Linked DNA regions of Ovis aries. Each later gene encodes a partner of the first gene's protein in a complex. Links are inferred from orthologs where the notes say so. Each region holds a gene or a part of one and is shown in the gene's direction. Other genes may lie near its edges.

Region 1 (3,653 bases):
CCACTCCAGTATTCTTGCCTGGGAAATTCCATTGACAGAGCCTGGTGGGCTGCAGTCCACGGAGTCCGACAGGCCTGAGTGATTGAACACACACGCAGTACTGTAGAAAGGAAAGACTAAACTCGTGTTTCTTTCCTTGATAACCTATCGGGAGACACACTTGTCCCGCGCACGCTGGTGCAGATCTGCCAGCGTCTGTTGTTGTTTAGTCACTGAGTCAGGCCTGGCTCTTTTGCAGCCCCATGGACTGTAGCCCGCCAGACTCCTGCTGTCCATGGGGTTGTCTGGGAGTTGATTGCCATTTCCTTTTCTTGGGGATTTTCCCAACCCAGGGATTGAACCTGAGTCTCTTGCATTGCAGGCAAATTCTTTATCACTGAGCCAGCTGGGACGCTCAGACCAACATCTACCAGCATGTTTTTAATGTTTAAAAGACTTTGAGGACCTATCAGAAACCAGATGTATTTTTTAAGTGCCTTCAAGTTCTCAGTTCAAAGTAATTGAGTTTACTTCTGTTTTAAAAAGAAAGCTTTTATTATAAAAGTGTTTATATTTTTTATTAAAGTAATATGTTCTAGAATTACACATTGTACCCTTAACCATTCAGTTCTATTTCCTTTTGGGATTTTTTGCTTCTACCTTTTCATTTAACACAATCCTTGTGAGTTTTCCAGTATTAGTGAGAGTCTTGTTTAAATGTCATTTTTAGTGGCTACATAATTTGTCATGCAGATGTGCCCTAATTTATTTAACCATCCCCCTCTTGAACGGTTCAGGCTTTTTCCAGGTTTTCCTATAATAAATAAGACAATGACCATCTTTCAACTTTTCCTTCAGCATGTACTTTTACGAGTGCTTTTCTGTGTGTCAGCCCAAGTGATGAACATTTTTTGGTAAAAAAGGGATCTCTTAAAATCTGCTAGAGGGATATTCGGGAGCTGAAAGCATACCAGGCATCTTAAACCCAGTCTGTGTGCGGCACTTAAAAGGTTGTTGATTTCATTCTGTCTTTTCTGTCTGGAGCAGTGATTCCTAAACGGTTCTGTCCACTTAGATGTGGACCACTTGAGGCCCACTCCTCTCCCGAGTCTCACTTTCTAAAAGAAAAACAGCTCAATGGTATAAAAAGATTGGCAAGAACAAAATAATTGTCAGAAATCCTAAATGAAATACATTAGGAATAAAACACAACAGAAATTCCATAACCATTTTCATTAATACTCGAACAGACAGCAATCCAGAATCACAAGCAACTCAGTACAACTTCAGTGATACAAAGAGGGGTTTCTGGAAGTTATCTGCAGATACCAGGGGCTTCGCAGTGTTCCCAGGTGTTTGTGATAGCTAGACTTCTTAAAACCACATGGAGCTAAACACCTCAACAGGCCCTTGCAACAGACCAGTTTCCATTTATAATATCAAATTTTAGTTTTCTTTGTTGACCACTTTTTTGACCAGGCCTTGTGAGTACTTTACCTACATTTTATTTCATCTTTGCAACAACTCTATGAGGTATAGCTATTATTATCTGTCTTCCAAATGGAGACACTGAAGCCCAGAGAAATCAGTTAACTTTTCCAGAGTGGCACAGCCAGCAAGTGGCAGAGCCCTCAGCCTCAGCCCCTCATGTCCTTGCCCAGCAGACCACGCTGCCACTGTGAGAGCACTCCGTGAGGAGAGCACTAGGAAGTAGCCCTGAATTGTAGGTAAGAAAGATGACCTGCGGATTGACACTTTGTTCATAGAAGCAAAAGAAAACCTACCGTACGGAATCAATTCCTTGTCTTGTCAAGAAGAGGTCCATAGGCTAGCATGTGCTGAGAATGTTACTCCTGAGACACACACATGGGAGGAAATGTGCGTGAGGCCCTTTTGTTTCTCTTGTGGACAACTAGGTTAACTTCAGGTACTCTAGATGCAAGTGTATTTGTTGTGACTTAATGGTGATGAGAAGAACGTGCGTTCCTCTCACCTCAGTGAGACGACTCAGTGCTCATGTTCCCACGGAGAAGCACACGTTCTGTCCCGCGCAAGGACAGTGCTGTCAGAACAGGCTGTCCTGATGAGGTCAAGGGAGGAGAGAGGCTCTGGCTTAGAGAAGTCAGTGAGGCTGTGGTCGGTCATATTTTGTGACACCCAACCCATCTCTTAATTTCTTTTTCTTGCCAGGGTCAGCACCCCCCACCAAAGAGCCAAGCCAGCTCGATGCATTCTCCTTTGGCGGGGGAGGCAAGCCTTTCTATGAGACCGTTCCTGAAAGCTTACCTTCCTCAGGGACGATAACATCAGCTAGCACAGGAGCAGCTGGTGCCGCGCCAGGAGAGTCCGCCCCACACAGCAGCAGACCCGCAGCCCCTTCTGGAATCTCTCTCTCCACTCCCACTGGCAAGCTGGAGGCGCCACCGTCCAAGCTGGGCGAGCTGCTGTTCCCAAGCTCCCTGGCGGGAGAGACTCTGGGAAGTTTCTCAGGACTGCGGGTCGGCCAAGCAGACGAGCCCACCAAGCCAGCCAGCAAGGCACTATCCCCAGGCGTGACCAGTGCCAGTGCACAGCCCACCAAGACCCCCACCGCCCCCTCCGGATTCAGTTCTCCCAGCCCTGCGGTGCTGGGGAAGCCCGCAGAGCCCCCCGAGACCACCTCTGCAGCCACCTCGGCAGCGGCACCAACAGCAGCAGCCAGTCCCAGCCCCAGCAGCTCCTCAATGGGCGTCTTTGGCAACCTGCCACTCACCAGTGCAGGCTCCTCTGGAGCTATCAGTTTTGGGGGCCTGTTTTTCAGTGGTAGCAAGACCAGCTTTTCATTCGGAGGCCAACCAACAAGCAGCACAGCACCCTCCTCCTCCCCGGCGTCCACTGCCACGCCCCTGCCCACGTCACTCCCCACCTTGTCGTTTGGCAGCCCCCTGAGCTCAGGGTCTGCCCCCACCCTGCCCACGGGCTCTGGTAAAAGCTCAGAAGCAGCTGCGTCATCGGCTCTGCCCGAGAAGCCAGGCAGTAATGAGGCCTCGACATCAACTGCCTCCCTCCTGGGGCAGCAGCCACCAACCCCGCTTCCCCAGGCTCCGCTTCAAACTCCCGACTCTGGGAAGAAAGAGCCTGCTCTCACCCAGCCTGCCATCAGCAGTCCTAGCACTGAAGCGGCCAGTACCAGTGTCCTGGTGCCTGCAGCTGAGGCTGCTCCAGCAGCCCCTGGGGTCCCAGACATCAAGACGGAAGCACTGTCCCCAGGCCCCACCGTCTCTGTGCCTGGGCCAGCCACCATCTCGGCACCTGGAGCCTCAAGCACCATCCCTGTGGCCCCAGAAACATCCAGACCTGCCACCACCTCCAGTGGTGTTTGCAGCGCTGCTCCAGGCCCAGCCACGGAGACCCCAGTGTTTGGGATGGCCACTTCTGACTCCTCTGTCTTCACTCAGCCTCCCGCTGCCAGCTCCAGCTCAGCTTTCAGCCAGCTCAGTAGCCACACAGCCAGCGCCCCCTCAGCGACCCCCATGTTTGGGCAGGTGGCCGCCAGCACCGCCCCCAGCCTGTTTGGGCAGCAGACGGGCAGCATGGCCAGCACAGCGGCCGCCGCGCCACAGGTCAGCAGCTCGGGGTTCGGCAGTCCTGCCTTTGGCACCTCCGCCCCAGGGGTCTTCGGACAGCCGGGTTTT
Region 2 (3,653 bases), about 150 Mb from region 1:
TTTTTTAAGTATGGCATGATATTTAGCTAAAAAGTTTTTAATGAGAATTGAAGTCTTATTCATAATTAAAGTAACTCAGTTATGTAGGTTGAAATCATTTTTTTGGTTAGACTTCCAGAAAACTGAGACCCATAAGCATCTCACGTCATAGGTGGAAACTGTGACACCAGCAGCAGTTAGATGCAGATAAAATGTATTAATCTGACAGTTTACTGATCAGAATAAATAAATTCTGATTGGTTGCTAGTGGCTGTAAAAACTGAACCCTGTTTTGAAGCATAGAAGAGGAGGCCAAGAGTAAGCAATGAAGACTGTCATAAGGAAGAAAAACAAAGCATTAAAGGAGAGAAAAGAGAAAATTTGAGGAAAAGTAAGTGAGACACTCTTCAGGAATCATTATGATACAGTATTTAAAATAACAAAAGAAATGTCATATAGATTGTGATGCAGAATGACCTGACCTGGGTGCTTAAAATACCCTATAGAGAAAGAAAGAATTGTGCCTAACTGAGACGATGAAAACGGAAGAGTTTTGTTGGACTAATAGAGTGTTGTGGCTCATTTAGTTCCAAGAACCAAGATGAAAAGGGCTCTTTATTTGGCTCTGTGGTTATTGAAAAAACAGAGAGAGTTTTACACACACCAGAAATGGCTCTGTGGTTATTGAAAAAACAGAGTTTTACACACACCAGAAATTGTCTAAATTATGTGTTTTCAAAGGAATGGTTTTGCATATTAAACCTCTCCTTGTCTTGGAAGGTTAAATCAATCTTTGAAATATTTTAGAGTGTTAGTATCTTAACAGTGATTTAGTCATTGAACAGTTTTATTGTTATGAAGCTGGTTTATTTTGGCAATGTTTATTCTTATTCTACTTAAAAACATGAGTGAATTGACTGCTTCTAGGTTTCAACATAAGATGATGACTTTTATTATTTAGTGCTTCAGAACTGCAAGTTTAATAGTAAAATTATTACTCTTCTAAAGGCCAGGCCACCTCATGCGAAGAGTTGACTCATTGGAAAAGACTCTGATGCTGGGAGGGATTGGGGGCAGGAGGAGAAGGGGACGACAGAGGATGAGATGGCTGGATGACATTACCGACTCGATGGACATGAGTTTGAGTGAACTCCGGGAGTTGGTGATGGACAGGGAGGCCTGGCGTGCTGCGATTCATGGGGTCGCAAAGAGTCGGACATGACTGCGTGACTGAACTGAACTGAACTGAAAGGCCAGGATAGAGTAAATATGTATTGATTGTCACAGAATGTTTGGAAGTTACTTTGTAGTGAAAAATGTTTTCTTGATTTTGTTTTGCCAATTTTAGTATCAGTTATGAGAGGTGGTTGAAGAAGTACAGTTATTTGTTACCTTGGTTGAGTTTAAGTACACCATGTGTCTACCTACAGAACATTTTTATGAATGCAGAATATCACTACTGTGTAAGATTTTCAGTTTGATCTGGGTGCTGATGATGATGAGTACCCAGAGGAAATCGGTCTTGTGGTAGCTGACGCTAAACTCTCCTCAGCCCATAGTTACTATCTAATTAATATATAGGGTCCCAGCACCCATCTTTAGCATTTTCCCTTGGGGAGACTAATTTAAAGGTACATTTTTATTGTTGTTCATGCCTGGATTTTTTAACACATTGCATTTGCTTGGTATGTCTCAAGTACTTAAATCTGTTAAGTTTCTAAATCATCCTTTTTTTTCATTACCATTTATTTGTTTAAGAAACTGAGTCATTCATCCCATAATATTTCCCAAAATTAAAAAATTGATTTAAAGTAGTCCTAGAGAGTAAAATTCATGAACAGAGGAGCCTGGTGGGCTACAGTCTGTGGAATCATGAAGAATTGGACACAACTGAGTGACTAACACTTTCACTAGGGCATAAAAGAATGGAGTAGTGCAAAGAAGAAAACACAGCCATAATATCCTTAACAAAATAATCATGTGGCCATCTTTTAAAAGTGAAAAACACATACGTTTTTTTAAAAAAATGTTAATAGTATTAAAGTCTTTATTCACTCAGTGCCAATAACTACATTACTTTTCTGTATCTCCTGTATCTTTTAGGTGACTAACCTGGATGACAGTAACTGGGCCACTGCTTTCTCATCACAGCGTGCAGGGCTGTTCTCAAACGCAGAGCCCCACAGTGTAACAGAGGACGTTACCCTCAGTGCTGTAATGTTACGAGAGGATGATCCTGGAGAAGCTGGTAAAATAGCTTTGGTCTTTGTTTATAACACAGTAGTTTGTCATTTTACTAACATCAAGGAAATCATCTCCTATTCCTGAATATTTAAAAATATTTTTTGTTATGCTTATTAGTTATAGTAATGGCTGTGCCACTTGATGATAATGGGTTAGCCAAATTTGTTTGGGTTTTTCAGTGAAATTTTTGGCCAACCCAGTAGTAACTCTAGAAGGTTGAGAACCTCACCTTAGTTCTCAGTTGGAGCAGCATCCTGCCATTTAATCTTTTCAGTGTAAATAGCTCCCTGTTAGGTTATTAGACTAGTTGCTAATGCTTATATTCTTTCCAAACTTGTGCTGTTGAGAGAGCTTCTCTTTTTGTTTAATTTTTATCTGACATTGTTGACATGTTTTGTTTTGGCCTGAATGCTAATGCTGTTTCTTCAAATAGTATTGTGACCATTCTGACTTTAGGCTGGTTATTACCATACCCTTCTGGAAAAAAGCATTTGCTTTTAGTGTGTTTATACCTGCACGTTATGACATAGATTCTTCGTTAATTTATCATTATAGACTAACATATGTGAGTGCTAGTCAGTATGCTTACCACTATACGCACGTTCGGAGAAGGCAGTGGCACCCCACTCCAGTACTTTTGCCTGGAAAATGCCGTGGACGGAGGAGCCTGGTGCTGCAGTCCCTGGGGTCGCTGCGAGTTGGACACGACTGAGCGGCTTTGCTTTCATTTTTCACTTTCATCATCGGAGAAGGAAATGGCAACCGACTCCAGTGTTCTTGCCTGGAGAATCCCAGAGACGGGGGAGCCTGGTGGGCTGCCGTCTATGGAGTCGCACAGAGTCAGACACGACTGAAGTGACTTAGCAGTAGCAGCAGTATGCACATTAATGCATTTCATGGTCCATTAAATAAATACAATAACTATTTCATTTTCGTGGAAAGGAAACAGCTGCTTAGATATATTAAGTAACCTGTTTGAGCTTACCTGGCTAAGAAGTGATGGCACCAGGATTTAAAACTGAGTAGTTTGATTTCAGCACCCTTCTCTTAACAATGTAGTTAAGAGTAGTAGTGACTACTACTTCTTTGTAGTATATGCCAGTGATAAGCATTCAAATATTGAGTAATTCAAAAATGCTTTGTACTTAATATATAAAATATAAGAATTTCATGTTTAGTATGAACCATGGCTGAGGCCTTAGATATACGATATTATAGTAGGGTGTATATATTTTCCCTGAATAAAGCATGTCATTTTAGGATATGCTATAACTTTTCCAATTACTTTGTTATGGTGTACTTAAAATATAATTCAGGTGTTTTAAAATTTGGCTCATGTTTTTGTAGTAATTGTTGACAGACTAATAACTAATATATCTTTGGAATCTTAAAAGACATATAGGTGACAGAAGACTAAATAGATAAGTTGG

What was found. The genes of interacting proteins can lie anywhere in the genome.
Region 2: NUP214 (region 1) and NUP107 share a complex: the UniProt entries of both Homo sapiens proteins name them as parts of the nuclear pore complex. The link is inferred for Ovis aries from reciprocal best matches to the Homo sapiens genes NUP214 and NUP107.

What each region holds. Positions count from the first base shown.
Region 1 is NC_056056.1:5,533,677-5,537,329, reverse strand, and holds part of NUP214 (nuclear pore complex protein Nup214), read left to right. Parts: intron 1-2,169; coding exon 2,170-3,653. UniProt on the Homo sapiens protein: Part of the nuclear pore complex. Has a critical role in nucleocytoplasmic transport.
Region 2 is NC_056056.1:151,297,221-151,300,873, reverse strand, and holds part of NUP107 (nuclear pore complex protein Nup107), read left to right. Parts: intron 1-2,082; coding exon 2,083-2,227; intron 2,228-3,653. UniProt on the Homo sapiens protein: Plays a role in the nuclear pore complex (NPC) assembly and/or maintenance. Required for the assembly of peripheral proteins into the NPC. May anchor NUP62 to the NPC. Involved in nephrogenesis.